Saccharomyces cerevisiae S288C: one gene and its partners. Changing the gene in region 3 together with the main gene of any one other region gives a genetic interaction. Each region holds a gene or a part of one and is shown on either strand. Other genes may lie near its edges.

Region 1 (3,911 bases), on a different chromosome or scaffold from region 3:
CTGATTAAATGCCAGATTATTCTTGTTTGCTCATCGCCGTCCATTTCCACAATGGGGTTAGCTACCTTAATCTTTGTCATTACGATTTTATATATATACGTACGTTACCTTCTTACCTCCTATTCTCGTGCCTGAGCAGCGACTGTAGTCGACAAGTCAAGAGTGTAGTAACATACAATTGCAGGCTGTCATTTATATATCATGCCGGAGACTAGTTTGCCTATAGCCAATTCCAACCGAACCAATAATGTTAAGTCCGGTTTTTGATATTATACTCCACCCCCACTATTCCTAGCCCTGAAAGGTATCAAAGAGAACACTGATGATTTGACTACTGCATATTCTTCCCTTATTTCCTTATTTGCCGATTTTCGGACCACCGGCAATGACATCCCGGAGTTATAAAAATAAATAGATAGACGTTCACGTGACCAAAGTGTCACCCTCTCCGGCTAACCCGGTGAGAACCCACGGGCCCAATGCCGTCGTAAGTGACGCATCTATCGTCGCATTAAAGTGAATAACTGTAAAACCCTGGAATAGTATTTCGTTCAGGGTTCGTGTTAGTTCCAAGCTATTGACGACTTCCATGTCGTCATTTTCTAGATCAAATTGAAGCTTCATCTGCGTATTTCCTGTGTCCTCATCGTGCAGAATGTGCGATGAAGAGTTGATCCATTGCTTCATGGGTAAGTTTAAGAAATTGATGTCGTTATGGTACAGATCGATCTGTCCCCGAATGGTATCGATGCGAACTCGGTCTTGCTGGTGCGTCTCGTAGAAGGATAGATCAAAGAATCCTAAAAATGTCCCCACAAGACTGAGCTTTTTGCGCGCTGCCCACCGTAGCTGAAGATCGTTGATCTGAAACTCTTGAATCAATTCACTGGAGTTAAACGTAGCATTGGTAGTAATGGGAATAAACGATGCTTCTTGGAAAATATCCTCCAGCATGTCTGCTGGAATCAATGAGTTATTATCTATACCATCTTCAAGGACATGGCCTCTTGCTGCGAACGTAACAGTCTCGTTCTGGTTCAGGACCGCATTCACTATTTGGCTCATTGGTGTAAGACTATTTTGAGGACATTCTTGGTATAGTAGTTCATCGGGCAGAGGACCTTCAATTTCATTTTGTAAACAGACGACGATATTATCCTTGTCGTGGTGCAGATTAATCGGTTCGTTAAAGCAAGACAAGGTTGGAATTGCGATAGCAGGCTCACCGTTACAGTCCGGTAGCTTGATTTCCCAATTGATGAAAGGGATTGACGTGCCTGGCGGAAGGTGAAGCCAGTCCACCCCTCCAAGAATCGTGATCGGATTCAGTCTCATATCGGCATGAAATCCATCAGAACTGGAGTCCCGCAATGTAAATCCTTGAAGAGATATTCCATCGATCATATTTTGAATCATCCGAAGGGGCGTTGCCGATATTTTTTCCCAATCAATAATATCTTTCCAATCTAAGATTTCGTCATTAAGTTTCAATAAATTAAACCTCGTGCCAAATTTTCTCTTGAAGATAGTCATATCTAAATTCGATTTTATATTTAAGGATTCAAAATCCCTATTCCAAAATTTTTTCAAAACTTTTACGATTTTCCAAATAGACGGTTTAACTAAAATTTTGAACTGTAGGTTATTAATCTGTCGGTGAGCCAAATTAAAACAAATGGGTTCCATGCCAACAACATCTCCCAGTTTATTCTTGAACACTAGATCTCCATCGAATGTGGTCACGTTATTCAGATCTATACAAATGGTTTTAAGAACTTTTTCATTGATGTACCGTATCCAGTCACGTTGGCTTCTGGCGTCCGAGTCATTTTCCGTTCCTGGCCATTTGTCATAATCGAACCAAATTTGAGAGTGTATAGACACCTGCAAATACTTACCTGTATCATTGTTCAGGTCAGAGCCCATATTATCTTTCCAACCATCAAGCTGAAACTCCACCAGTTTGAAATTTGTTACTTGAACTAGATTCTTTTCTATCACATCTGTGGGCGGCACATGTCCCCTAATATACTGCACTATGCTGACGCCAAAGAAACTTAATAAAACAATACCTAGCAGATATATAATTAAGCACTTTATACTCCGCCAACGAGATTTAATAAGGGTCTCATTTGCAACGTTGATTCTCACTTCATCATTGAGGAGTTGGCTTTCTTCAGTGTTTGGTCTCAACAGTGGTTGAGTTTCTAGATCTTGGTTATCCGCTCGTAAGGGTGAGTTAGTGTGCATCTTAAAAGGTTCAAGGAGTAATGCACTACACTAAGCAATAAAAAATCCCAAAAACAGGAGGATCTTGTGTCTTCTTCCCCTAGACAGTTCATCTTTTTGATTCTGGGCTTCGCATTTACCTTTAGAGAAAATTAAATAACCCCATGCATGCGATTCTAAAAAAAAGTTAACTAAGCGATGGGATGAAATTTTTTTCTGGTGGTTGTTAGCAAAGTAAAAACGAACAGGATATAGAGTGAATAAAGGACAGTGAGAAAAATGCTTTATTTGATCGGACTTGGTCTCTCGTACAAATCAGACATTACCGTTCGTGGTTTGGAAGCTATTAAGAAATGTTCTAGAGTTTATCTAGAACACTATACCAGTATCCTAATGGCTGCAAGCCAAGAAGAGTTAGAATCTTACTATGGTAAAGAGATCATCTTGGCTGATAGGGAATTAGTTGAGACTGGTTCTAAGCAGATCCTAAATAACGCCGATAAGGAAGACGTTGCTTTCTTGGTCGTGGGCGATCCATTTGGTGCCACCACACACACAGATTTAGTTCTCAGAGCTAAACGTGAGGCAATTCCCGTCGAAATTATTCATAATGCGTCCGTTATGAATGCAGTTGGGGCATGTGGCCTACAACTATACAATTTCGGTCAAACCGTTTCCATGGTTTTCTTTACCGATAATTGGAGACCAGACTCATGGTACGACAAGATCTGGGAAAATAGAAAAATTGGCCTTCATACTTTAGTGTTATTGGACATCAAAGTTAAGGAACAAAGCATTGAAAATATGGCCCGTGGCAGACTAATCTACGAACCACCAAGATACATGTCTATCGCTCAATGTTGTGAACAATTATTAGAAATTGAAGAGAAAAGAGGTACAAAGGCATACACTCCTGATACTCCAGCAGTCGCAATTAGTAGATTAGGCTCGAGCTCCCAAAGCTTTAAGTCTGGTACCATAAGTGAGTTAGCCAATTACGATTCAGGAGAGCCACTTCATTCGCTTGTCATCCTCGGCAGACAATGTCATGAATTGGAGCTGGAATACCTGCTAGAGTTTGCCGACGACAAAGAAAAGTTTGGGAAAGATGTGGCAAATGACCAAGAGTACTTCAAACCTGCGGCATGGGTCCCACCCACAGAAGACGACAGCGACGAGTAAAGGTAATGCACACGCTCATGTGTAGTTTCTTTTTTATAATGTATATTGAATAGATCCTTTCAGTCGGGTAACAATTCGATCCCAAACGAATCGGGCCCTAACGATATGTGTAAAAATGGCAATGAATGAACAAGAAGTTATAACAACAATTTCAGCCAAGAACAAGAGCGATCCTGGAGGAGATTATATACGGATACACAGGTACACAAGATGACGCAATTAAAATATTTGTTGCTGGTTTCTAGGCAAGGAAAAATCAGATTAAAGAAATGGTACACGGCAATGTCCGCTGGTGAAAAGGCAAAAATTGTGAAAGACTTGACACCTACGATATTAGCAAGAAAACCCAAAATGTGTAACATCATCGAGTATAATGACCACAAAGTAGTATACAAGCGATATGCTAGTCTATATTTTATTGTTGGGATGACGCCCGATGTTGACAATGAACTGCTGACCTTGGAAATTATCCATCGGTTTGTCGAAACAATGGACACATA
Region 2 (4,148 bases), on a different chromosome or scaffold from region 3:
CAATTCAGAAGTAGAGTTAGATTATGATGAAGAGTTTGCCGATGATGAGGAGGCACCTATTATAGATGGTAATGAACAAGAAAATAAAGAATCAGAACAAAGAATCAAGAAGGAGATGCTGCAAGCTAATGCGATGGGGCTTCGTGATGAAGAAGCTCCTTCCGAAAACGAAGAAGATGAGTTATTTGGGGAAAAGAAGATTGATGAGGATGGTGAAAGAATTAAGAAGGCATTACAAAAGACAGAACTTGCAGCACTATACTCATCGGATGAAAATGAGATCAACCCATACTTATCTGAATCCGATATTGAAAACAAAGAGAATGAATCGCCCGTTAAAAAGGAAGAAGATTCGGACACTCTATCCAAATCCAAGAGATCTTCTCCAAAGAAACAGCAAAAGAAAGCTACAAATGCGCATGTGCATAAAGAGCCAACTTTGAGGGTGAAAAGTATTAAAAACTGTGTCATTATCTTGAAGGGGGATAAGAAAATACTGAAAAGCTTCCCAGAGGGAGAATGGAATCCACAGACGACAAAAGCTGTAGATAGTAGTAATAATGCATCGAATACAGTGCCTTCGCCAATCAAACAAGAGGAAGGCTTGAATTCTACAGTGGCAGAAAGGGAAGAAACTCCAGCGCCTACAATAACAGAAAAAGATATCATCGAGGCTATTGGTGATGGCAAAGTCAATATCAAAGAGTTTGGAAAGTTCATCAGAAGAAAATATCCTGGCGCAGAGAATAAAAAGCTAATGTTTGCCATTGTAAAAAAATTGTGTCGAAAGGTTGGCAATGACCACATGGAATTAAAGAAAGAGTAGGTTAGTTTATAATGTTATGTACTTAATAGGTTATTTAGTTTTCGTTCTTTTCATTCTTTCCTTTTTCTTTCCATTTAATCTTATGTAGTTACATTATACTGTCATTTTAGTTGCAGTAAGTATACTTTTTTATCTAGTCTTTTTTTCTGCCTTTTTTTTGAGAAAAGACTCAGAATTCTACTAAACTCTAATATATTGTTATTTCTGTATTATACAATTCTATGCTATGTGAACTGTCCTTGAAAGTGACCTAGGCCACTTCGACAATTTCATCTTCTTCGTCGTCATCTTCTTCTTCTTCACTCTCCTCCTCTTCTTCCTCTTCCGCATTCTTTGATGGCATCTCTTCCACTGCTCCCGCACCTGGCTCGCCTCTCATTAACATATTAACAATTCTGTAACATAATTCACCAATATCTTCATTCTCAACGTTTTTATGCAGCTCCCTCACTAGTGGATAAACGGACTTGTCTCTTAAGTATTCTCTTCCAGCATGCGTTGTACATAGCAAAAGAATACTTTCTAAATGACAGCATATAATTGCAGGAATCGGGTCTCTTTCCTTGTCCTCTGGTAATAATTGAAGTTCATCTGGTAAATTGAACATATCTTCCTCATCAATTTCAGAATCTTTAGCACTAGCAATAGGTAGCAGGATGTAAGGCAACAAGTTTATTTTTTCATCTTTGAGTAACCTTTCATGAGTTTCAGAATCAAATAGGGAATTTTTAATTGTGGAAGCGACACCTTCTCTTCTTACCTTTGCATCATATTTTTCGGTAAATACTAGCAATTTTGAAATAGGAACAACCCCATCGTATTCCTGCTCTTCAATAAAATACATCCTGCCCAATTTAAACCTCGAGATATCCGCAAAAAAAAAGGCTAAATAATTGAAACTGGCATATTTTGTTAATTTTTTATCATAACCCTTAACAAAGCAATCCATTAAACAATCCATGGCTCTCAAACTTTTGAAAACTTCTTTATTTAAAGCTGCTAACTTCAAACCATCATCGACCTCCTCACCGCTTGAATTCCTTTTGATATTCAGAACAGCAAGAATGCCGTCATCCTTGGCTAAGTTGCTTAATAAGATACACATTATATCGGCATTTGGATTGGTTAAATCGACAATTTTCCAAACCAAAAATTTTAAGAACTTCTTGTCATCGCTCAATATAATATTTCTTACTAACTTGTCTTCAGATAAATTGACCAATATAGTGACACCTTGCTGAATAATAACACGGGTGCCGTGTTCTGGATCCATGATCATTTTTATTATATCCTTAATGGGTCTGTAGCTATCATTTTTGAAAACTTTTGAAGTGGGACCAGCACTAAATCCAACTAGATTATCAATGGCAATCTGTCTTACGGCAGGTTGTGGTGAATGCAGAAATTCCACTAATTCATTCAATTGTGAAGTCATCACTCAATTTTTTGTTGATTTTTTTGAGCTATTTTTAATTTTTAAATTAAATTGATACCGTTTTAAGAAGAATAAACTTGTCGTTATTAGAGTAGGTGCGTCATAAATTGATGGATGAGATGAGAGAGCTCAATATGAAAAAATGAAAAAAAAAAAAATTTGAAAAAGCCCTTCGAGGAAGAATAGGGAAAAATCTACAATAATAATTATCGTCTGGGGTGATAACAGAACACATCGAAAGGTAGCACTACCAGTAACATCCCAATTGGCTCTGCAGCTATTAGATGAAATATACTGCGAATTGCGAATCAAGACATCTATTTTTTATTCTTGTTAGTTTTCGCGGTAACAAGTGGAGCAATTGCTACATACTCGATGTATGAAGAGCTTCAGTAAAATAATATCATAACATTATCGCCATTTTTTTGGTACTTGTTTTTCCATAAGTGACAGATGTCAAGATTAAAAAAGAATATATTTACTCAACCTGAGAACCTGCTAGTTTTATATTACCTTTTATATATTAATGTTACAATTGGCTCTACCTGAAGTTGTGTTGTCATTGCTATGGAATCTGGCAGGACACCAAAAAGTCACCTATGCGGGAGATGAAGGCATATTTATTCACTAAAATCTCCTTGACGGTTTCCCCTTATATTGAAAATGTGATAACTCCTCTTCAATGCTTAGAATTACGTTTCTTAAGTGATTTTCTGCGTGCTGTTCCAGATGGCTTTCTATCAAATTCCTTATTTCAACAATCTTTTCAGTCATCGGCAAAGCTTGATTGGAAGCTTGACCGCTATTTAACAGTAAATCAAATATAACGCCCCATATTTCTTTTTTCCAATACCTTTTGAATGGGTTCTTCAATTTGCATCGTCCATTCTGCAGCTGGATTGTTTCTATGAATTTTCCAAAAAGCATCGAATGTATGACGCCTGCTAATCCATAATAATCCGCTTCATAACTCCATGGCTTGCCCGCACGCATTTCCCAGCAATCTTGCTGATCAGCCTTCCAATTTGATTTGAATTTCGTTCCAGGTGGTAACAGTGTCATATCAAATGATCTACCGAAATCTATTAAATAGATTCCCTTGTTTTCCCAGCCATCCTCTCCATTGCGCATATAATGAGCACCCAGGGGTTCGCCTGGTTTTTCTAATCTGATCATGCAGTTATCTGGTTTCAAATCGCCATGTATTATTCCCACTTCATGTATCTTTTCAAGTACTTTCATTAGCTCGACAGTGATAAACATGCACAAATATTCATCCATTATTCCGTTGCCGTCAATTGCCTTTTCCCGTTGTAAATTAATTAAATCCAAGACCGTACCTTGACTGGCGTAGTTTAAAACAAGGTAGCTCTCATCAAGGAACAAGTGTAAAGCACTAGCGTTGATTATTGACTTTAATATTGTGCTCTTCCTCAACCTAAACTCCACTTGGCTCATTATGTAATATTCCCATACACTTGCAGGTTTTTCTACTTTCAACGCTCGCAGATGTCCTTGACTAGATTCTGCTAGATATACAGTGGCATAACCTCCTTCGCCTAATTCTCCGCGTATACAATATAAATCACCCGTCTTCTTGAAGTCAACAATTGGGTTCTTGTTTTCGTTGCGGGATACCCTATGGATTTTTTTCAATAGAGAACTCATTTTCAATTCTTGGTTGTAGTTATAAAAGGTGTTATATTGGAATAATGGGGGCGAAATTTCGGATAAAAACTTCGCTCTTAAATTATTACTAAGTGGGTTTTCAATAATGACAGGCGGTTGATTTTTTATTTTAGTGAAGGGAGGTATGATCGTTGGGTAATGCTCTTTACTCTTTTCCGAATGTTCTGCAGTTTGTAAAAGCTTTTCTGCTTGTGGTTC
Region 3 (5,366 bases):
GAATACCAACCGCAGCAACTACTTAAAATTCCAAAATAGCCACCGGCCATTTTGAGATTGTTGTTGTCAATGAAGGTGCCGATACACAGTAGTAGGAAGGTAAGATCCAAAAACGTCAATAGTAAGAACAAACCCCACGTGCTCTTCAATGTACACATCAACATCAAGAAGGTGAAAACGGTCCAGCCCGCAAGGAAGAACCCAATGACATTGTTCAACATTGTGGGATCGGTATAGCCGCTGACCAAATTATCAGTATCTGTTAGCCCATAACCGTAGCAGATCCAGAACCCGCCGAAAGAACTGAACACAGTCATGGCGTATGTGTCCCCAATGACAAAACACAATAACCCGGCAAACAATTCAATGGCACCACCAAAAAACATAAACAAACTTAGCGCCCATTTACCATCAGTGACGCCGCGAACGTTCGCATTAATTAGCGACAGAACTAGACATGACAGAGAAAACGATGCGAGACCCAAAGGAACCGGATTAGCGAACTGGTGCGGAGTATACTTTGCACAGTTTCCTTCCTCCCCATCCCCTCTGTCTAGTGCATTGAGCAAATCTCTGCGCCTGTAGGTGGAGGATCCTAGAGTAATGAAGTCTCTGTCGGAGTATATCTCTTGAATATTAGGGAAGCCCTGCGAAACGCCTGCAATCGAACCCTGCTGGGGGAGCGTCTCAATATTTTCTAGAGTGTTCACACCCTTTTCCAAATCCTGTGGAGAAGAAGCAGACGATGTCATTTTAACCAGTATTTTTATTTTTTATTCTTACTAAATCTTTCTGGGAATGTATTCAGTTATATGTGACCCAACTGTTTATAAAACTGGGGGAATATTAGGCAATCAAGCGAAGCTCATCGATGAGTATTCAATTTGCTAAAAAGTTGTTTTATTTAAATATTCCTTCTGAGTCACGGTCATCGTGAATAGCGTTAAAATTCTCAAATCCATTGGTGTTTCCATTAGGCCCTGAGCGGTTCCCCAAGAAAAAAAAAAACAGTAGAAAAAAATGATGCTTCTTCCTAACGCTATTGTAGTGCAGGTTCTGCCGTGTGCCAAGTTGGAGCAGCGCCTGCTGAGACTCTTCCGTATGGTTCTTGCTCTTCTCAGGACCAGCGGCGGCAGTTCCGGTTTTTTTCGGCGTCTTTTGTCTGGCACACAATGGGCGATGGAGAGGGAAAACCGGAGGATATGCCAGCTGCGGTGAGATTATGGTTGGAGTTATGTTTGTAGCCGGCGGTGCGGCAATAGGAGAGGGGAGGGGAAGGGGAGGGGAAAAGGTAATGGCTGACGAAGTATAGAGATGGCAATCACAAGCCAAATATTGGAGATTACATGCAAGAATGCTACTGTTATACAAAAGGGTGAAAATTGAGACCCAAATTCCTTCCTTTTTTTTCTTTTTTTTTTACCAGAAGAATTACGTACAAAAGTACCTACTATTTCAAAGCAAGAAATGAGATGCCTATTGTGGTTATATACAGAATAGATGATAAATGGGTTTTCCGTGCAAAACGATATGGAGAATTCAAAATGGGTGCGAAATACCTGGAACGTAAGCGTTCTGAGAAATACACAGACGCATTAACCTGACAAAAACACAACTAGTTTGGGAAAGGGATTTGGTCTTTCCTCTCGGGTCTCTCGTGTGGTTCCTTTCTTTCTCAGATCTCCCTGCACACTGGGCTGTTGTCCTCCAGGTTATGGTTTGTTCTCTTCAGGTATTACAATGCAGTAGGCTTTTGGAGTGAGCAAAACGAAGAGAGAAAAAAATTTTTTCTTAAAAGTTTTTTTTCATTTTGTGAGCTTATTCTTCTTTTCTATATATTCTTGATATCTTAGATTATACATATTATTCTCTTACATTTCACGATTGCCCTTTTGGTGTTTAGCATTCAGACTCAAAGACCACAAACACAAACTATAACATAATTGCAAGATGGTTGCTTTCACTGTTGACCAAATGCGTTCTTTAATGGACAAAGTTACCAATGTGCGTAACATGTCCGTTATTGCTCACGTCGATCATGGTAAGTCCACTTTGACCGATTCCTTGGTCCAAAGAGCCGGTATTATTTCCGCTGCTAAGGCTGGTGAAGCTCGTTTCACCGATACCAGAAAGGATGAACAAGAAAGAGGTATCACTATCAAGTCTACCGCTATTTCTCTATACTCTGAAATGTCTGACGAAGATGTCAAGGAAATCAAGCAAAAGACCGACGGTAACTCCTTCTTGATCAACTTGATCGACTCTCCAGGTCACGTTGACTTCTCCTCTGAAGTTACTGCCGCTTTACGTGTCACTGACGGTGCTTTGGTTGTCGTCGACACCATTGAAGGTGTCTGTGTCCAAACCGAAACTGTTTTGAGACAAGCTTTGGGTGAGAGAATCAAGCCTGTTGTTGTTATCAACAAGGTCGACAGAGCTTTGTTGGAATTGCAAGTTTCTAAGGAAGATTTATACCAAACCTTTGCCAGAACTGTTGAATCCGTTAACGTCATCGTTTCCACCTACGCCGATGAAGTTTTGGGTGATGTCCAAGTTTACCCAGCCAGAGGTACCGTTGCCTTCGGTTCCGGTTTGCACGGTTGGGCTTTCACTATCCGTCAATTCGCCACCAGATATGCTAAGAAATTCGGTGTCGACAAGGCCAAGATGATGGACAGATTATGGGGTGACTCTTTCTTCAACCCAAAGACCAAGAAGTGGACCAACAAGGACACTGATGCTGAAGGTAAGCCATTGGAAAGAGCTTTCAACATGTTCATCTTGGACCCAATCTTCAGATTATTCACTGCTATCATGAACTTCAAGAAAGATGAAATTCCAGTTTTGCTAGAAAAGTTGGAAATTGTCTTGAAGGGTGACGAAAAGGACTTGGAAGGTAAGGCCTTGTTGAAGGTTGTTATGAGAAAGTTCTTGCCAGCTGCCGATGCCTTATTGGAAATGATTGTCTTGCACTTGCCATCTCCAGTCACTGCTCAAGCCTACAGAGCTGAACAATTATACGAAGGTCCAGCTGACGATGCCAACTGTATTGCTATCAAGAACTGTGATCCAAAGGCTGATTTGATGTTGTACGTCTCCAAGATGGTGCCAACCTCTGATAAGGGTAGATTCTACGCCTTCGGTAGAGTTTTTGCCGGTACTGTTAAGTCCGGTCAAAAGGTCAGAATCCAAGGTCCAAACTACGTTCCAGGTAAGAAGGACGATTTGTTCATCAAGGCCATTCAAAGAGTTGTTTTGATGATGGGTAGATTTGTCGAACCAATCGATGACTGTCCAGCCGGTAACATTATCGGTTTAGTCGGTATCGATCAATTCTTGTTGAAGACTGGTACTTTGACCACCAGTGAAACTGCTCACAACATGAAGGTCATGAAATTCTCTGTCTCTCCAGTTGTGCAAGTCGCTGTCGAAGTCAAGAACGCTAACGACTTACCAAAATTGGTCGAAGGTTTGAAGAGATTGTCCAAGTCTGATCCATGTGTCTTGACCTATATGTCTGAATCCGGTGAACATATCGTTGCTGGTACCGGTGAATTGCATTTGGAAATTTGTTTGCAAGATTTGGAACACGACCACGCTGGTGTTCCATTGAAGATCTCCCCACCAGTTGTCGCTTACAGAGAAACTGTTGAAAGTGAATCTTCTCAAACTGCTTTGTCCAAGTCTCCAAACAAGCATAACAGAATCTACTTGAAGGCTGAACCAATTGACGAAGAAGTCTCTTTGGCTATTGAAAACGGTATCATCAACCCAAGAGATGATTTCAAGGCCAGAGCTAGAATCATGGCTGACGACTACGGTTGGGATGTCACCGATGCCAGAAAGATCTGGTGTTTCGGTCCAGACGGTAACGGTCCAAACTTGGTTATTGACCAAACTAAGGCTGTCCAATACTTGCACGAAATCAAGGATTCCGTTGTTGCTGCTTTCCAATGGGCTACCAAGGAAGGTCCAATTTTCGGTGAAGAAATGAGATCTGTCAGAGTTAACATTTTGGATGTTACTTTACATGCCGATGCTATCCACAGAGGTGGTGGTCAAATCATCCCAACCATGAGAAGAGCTACTTACGCTGGTTTCTTGTTGGCTGATCCAAAGATCCAAGAACCAGTTTTCTTGGTCGAAATTCAATGTCCAGAACAAGCCGTCGGTGGTATCTACTCCGTCTTAAACAAGAAGAGAGGTCAAGTCGTTTCTGAAGAACAAAGACCAGGTACTCCATTGTTTACCGTCAAGGCCTACTTGCCAGTTAACGAATCTTTCGGTTTCACTGGTGAATTGAGACAAGCTACTGGTGGTCAAGCTTTCCCACAAATGGTTTTCGACCATTGGTCCACTTTAGGTTCTGACCCATTGGACCCAACCTCTAAGGCTGGTGAAATTGTTCTTGCTGCTCGTAAGAGACACGGTATGAAGGAAGAAGTTCCAGGCTGGCAAGAATATTACGACAAATTGTAAGAATGGTTAAACAATTTTTAATTATTTAACTTTTTCAGTTTTTGTCGTAATGTATTGGGCACCTTTTATGTCCTTTTGACTTTTTTGTAGTTTATTCTCACGTATACTTACCATCTATAGTGTTATTTCATATTTAATCATATTTCCATATTAGATATCTGCCTTCCCCTGTATAATAGTTACTATGATTTATCTTGCTTTGCCTATTCGCGTCATCAACTTCTTTTCTTACCGATCGCGGTAATGCCCTTTAAGAGTGGCATCAACATTGGCGTAAACAAAGTTTCAAAGGATTGATACGAACACACATTCCTAGCATGAAAGCATGGAACTCTCATCAAACTTAAAAGACCTATATATTGAATGGTTACAAGAATTAGTTGACGGATTAACCCCTAAACAAGAACAACTCAAAATAGCCTATGAAAAAGCAAAAAGGAATTTACAAAATGCTGAAGGTTCATTTTATTATCCTACAGATCTAAAGAAAGTTAAGGGAATTGGCAATACAATAATAAAGAGATTAGATACGAAATTACGGAACTATTGCAAAATTCACCACATATCTCCCGTTGAGGCTCCTTCCTTAACTCAGACAAGTAGCACCAGACCACCAAAGAGGACTACTACAGCTTTGCGTAGCATAGTAAACTCATGCGAAAATGATAAGAATGAAGCTCCCGAAGAGAAGGGAACTAAAAAGAGAAAAACTAGGAAGTATATACCCAAAAAAAGATCTGGAGGCTACGCTATCCTTCTTTCCTTACTCGAGCTTAATGCCATTCCTCGAGGCGTTAGTAAAGAGCAAATCATCGAGGTTGCAGGAAAATACAGTGACCATTGTATGACTCCAAATTTCTCCACAAAAGAATTCTACGGTGCTTGGT
Region 4 (3,100 bases), on a different chromosome or scaffold from region 3:
TTGTTGACAAAATTACCTTAGAGAGGTATGATTTCGATTTTTTTGATACAGATGTTTGGAAAACCCTTGGCTTGTCACCTCTCGTCAATGAGAAAAGAGAGGAATCAGCTCACGAAAAATCAAAATTATTACCAAGGAAAACGAAATCAGCGCTTTCGCTTAAAGCTACCCTAAACGCAACTACCAAGTTTGTCCTAAATGCACCTGTTGTTAGGAATGTAGCCGGCAATAATAAACAGGTACCAAGGGATGTGCCTTTCGATGAAGTCTTCCATACATCTTATGAAGATAGCTGTGAATATTTAGCGAGAACTTTAAAACGTACAAAGAATTATTTGGATAGCTTAGATTACGACCCGAACAAAGAATATCCTCCATTGGCCATGGTTTACGGTAACAAGGTTCCCACTGTTAGAGGTGCTAAAGTGAACGGTATACAAGATATAAAAGATGGGAATTATGAAGATTTTTACTATGGTCCGGGCGACGGTGTTGTTCACCATAAATGGTTATTGCCTGAACAGAGAGGCTTTCCAGTTGTTTGTAAAATCGCCAGTTCTTCAGGTCATGTTAGCTTAATGACGGATTTGAAATCAATGGCAAAAGCATTCATATCTATCGTCGACAGCGAAAAAGAAGGAAGAAGATCTCGAACACGAACTTCTTCATGAAAGGCTTTTTATTCCTTTGTTTACTATTCATATCTGCATTTTTCTTTTTACCAAAATTCCGCATGTCAAAAAAAATCTGGCAACGCACCGCGAATAAAAATAAATAATATTTTTTTATCTTTAGTTGCCTAAATACTATTTATTTCGTCAATTTTACAACCTCTTTTATATACACCATTCGATTTCCCACGAAGTAAAATAATAATTCTATAAACAGATTTATCTGATATGCTCAATTTCCCCTCCCATTTTCATTATTGTCCTTCTTGCTCTTCCTCGATGTCAAAATTAACCTTCAGCCATAAGCTGCATGCGCTACATTGGGTTAATAATTGATAACCAGAATGACTCCGTTCCATAGCGTCTACATTATCAATGCATTCATCTAACAAACTCTCACTAAAATGAAAACCACCAACAAATTGACAGCGAGGACAATTCATCATAAACTCCAGCTTATCTTCATCAAATGAGAAATCGTCTAAGGAAAATTCATCCAGCCCATCACCACAATTATGAAATCCTTGGCGTTTATAGTTTTCAAGGATCAACCTATCATATTCGCGACGAGTTTTTATATTCGATAGTATTTTATAAGCATCTTGAATCTTATTGATTGTGACGTTGCTAACCGTATCATGTATGCTTTTAGAAAGTTTATCGGGGTGCGTATTTAGTAACCGATTCCTATATGCCTTTTTGATTTCATCTTGTGTTGCATCCGATGGAATTCTTAAAATTTCGTAGTGTGTTAACGAATTCACCAATGACATTTTCGCTAAATTTTCACACCAAAAGAAAGATTAAATTGGAGATAAATACAATACAAAGAGCGTGGTAAATTTCTTAGTTGATTGCGCTTATCTTTTGGCACCGATAGTGGTTTTTACAATGGTAAGACTAGTAACGTCACATCGAAGTCATCGCATCCATTTACAATTTTTCTGAAAATTTCCATCTCCAGTTACCCGCTCATAAATCTTCAAGAAAAGTCAATGATTTCCTTTTCTACCTCTAGCAGCTCCTTTAATCTTTGATTTAGATCGAAAGTCCTGAAAAAGCTACATGTAATATTAATACTTTGTGAAACGTAAACTAATTATATGTTCTATATACGTTATTCTACGGTTCGCATTTTCTTTTTATGGCGCGTCTGTGCATTCCCAATCGGTAGGCTCATAAGCATCAGGATGATCAAGAAATTTCATCTGTTCGTCTGACAGTTCAAAGTTGTAGGCTGCAAGGTTACCTTCTAACCTCTTCACAGTTTTAGTCTTCGGTAGTGGTAAATAACCGTGTTGTAAAGACCAACGAATCAAAACTTGACCTGGATTACGGTCCACCTCTTTGCAAACTTTTAATAAATCTGGATTAGTCATTTTGTAGCCGTGACACAATGGGGCAAAGGCTTCGACGACGAGACCTTTAGATTTACAGTAATCTGCTAATTCTTGTCTCATAATCCAAGGTGATATCTCGATTTGGTTGACCACTGGCTTGTGCTTCAGTTCTGGCCAGTTCAAAAGTTCATCAATGTGCTTTTTCCCATAGTTGGAAACCCCTATAGACTTAACCAATCCTTCATCAACCGCTTCTTGCATGGCGCGCCAAGTTTCCAACCTTAATTTAGAACCTTCCAGTGGCGAATGAATCAAAAGAAGATCGATGTATTGCAAGCCCGAGACTTCATTCAAACATTGCCGAATGGCAGCTTTAGCTCTTTTATATCCGTTTTGCGAATTCCATAATTTAGTAGTGTAGAAGATTTCCTCACGTTTATGGTTCCCTGGATCTTCGTTCAACCATTTAATGATACCATCGCCAACTTCCTTCTCATTACCATAAAGAACAGCAGTATCGAAATGACGGTAGCCGCACTTGACACCTTCATACACAATTTCGGCTGTTTGCGATCTTGGAATATCGTAGGTTCCCAAAGCAATGCTTGGGATTTTGAAGCCGTTTGAAAGTTTGTAAAACTTAGGAACCATGTTGTTGAGGTGAATTTTTTTTCTTCCTTCGGGCTAGGTATGCTAAGTTAATTACTAAAGTAAGATCAGTTGCTTATGCTCTTATATATTGGAGGTTGCGACAAGGGATGAAAGAAAGAGACACCTCCCCTCATATCGACACGACGGAATATGTATGATAACTACTTCATTGTTCTTTTCAGCACATTATTACTATTTACGAAAAAAGGGAGTAGGGAAAAATGGCGCGCTTATGGAGCCTCAAATAAGGACAAAAAAGTCAAGTAATGAATATCAAATTGAAATGAGTATGCTTACATAGATTTATTTGGTTTGTTTTCATTTTGTTTTTGTTTCTTATGTTGCTGCTTTATTTTGTGTAGGTAATAAGGAAGAATAGGGCGATTAATAATTGATCTTCTAGCCTATTTCTATTTTTTCTTTATTTCATTTTGTAGT

Evidence for each region.
Region 1: mutations in EFT2 (region 3) and DPH5 together harm fitness more than expected from each alone (negative genetic interaction), as found in Saccharomyces cerevisiae (4 studies listed by BioGRID, with this or other methods).
Region 2: mutations in EFT2 (region 3) and HGH1 together harm fitness more than expected from each alone (negative genetic interaction), as found in Saccharomyces cerevisiae (4 studies listed by BioGRID, with this or other methods).
Region 4: mutations in EFT2 (region 3) and JJJ3 together harm fitness more than expected from each alone (negative genetic interaction), as found in Saccharomyces cerevisiae (3 studies listed by BioGRID, with this or other methods).

What each region holds. Positions count from the first base shown.
Region 1 is NC_001144.5:500,760-504,670, reverse strand, and holds DPH5 (diphthine synthase), read left to right. Parts: upstream 1-2,508; coding exon 2,509-3,411; downstream 3,412-3,911. Other genes in the region: isocitrate dehydrogenase (NADP(+)) IDP2, read right to left, coding at 1-80; TAG1 (Tag1p), read right to left, coding at 424-2,250; APS1 (Aps1p), read left to right, coding at 3,622-3,911. UniProt on the Saccharomyces cerevisiae protein: S-adenosyl-L-methionine-dependent methyltransferase that catalyzes four methylations of the modified target histidine residue in translation elongation factor 2 (EF-2), to form an intermediate called diphthine methyl ester.
Region 2 is NC_001139.9:869,156-873,303, forward strand, and holds HGH1 (Hgh1p), read right to left. Parts: upstream 2,262-4,148; coding exon 1,077-2,261; downstream 1-1,076. Other genes in the region: transcription factor IIF subunit TFG1, read left to right, coding at 1-826; protein kinase BUB1, read right to left, coding at 2,889-4,148.
Region 3 is NC_001136.10:1,241,280-1,246,645, forward strand, and holds EFT2 (elongation factor 2), read left to right. Parts: upstream 1-1,950; coding exon 1,951-4,479; downstream 4,480-5,366. Other genes in the region: putative ammonium permease ATO3, read right to left, coding at 1-752; MUS81 (Mus81p), read left to right, coding at 4,805-5,366. UniProt on the Saccharomyces cerevisiae protein: Catalyzes the GTP-dependent ribosomal translocation step during translation elongation.
Region 4 is NC_001142.9:610,757-613,856, reverse strand, and holds JJJ3 (Jjj3p), read right to left. Parts: upstream 1,445-3,100; coding exon 926-1,444; downstream 1-925. Other genes in the region: YJR098C (uncharacterized protein), read left to right, coding at 1-671; YJR096W (aldo-keto reductase superfamily protein), read right to left, coding at 1,814-2,662.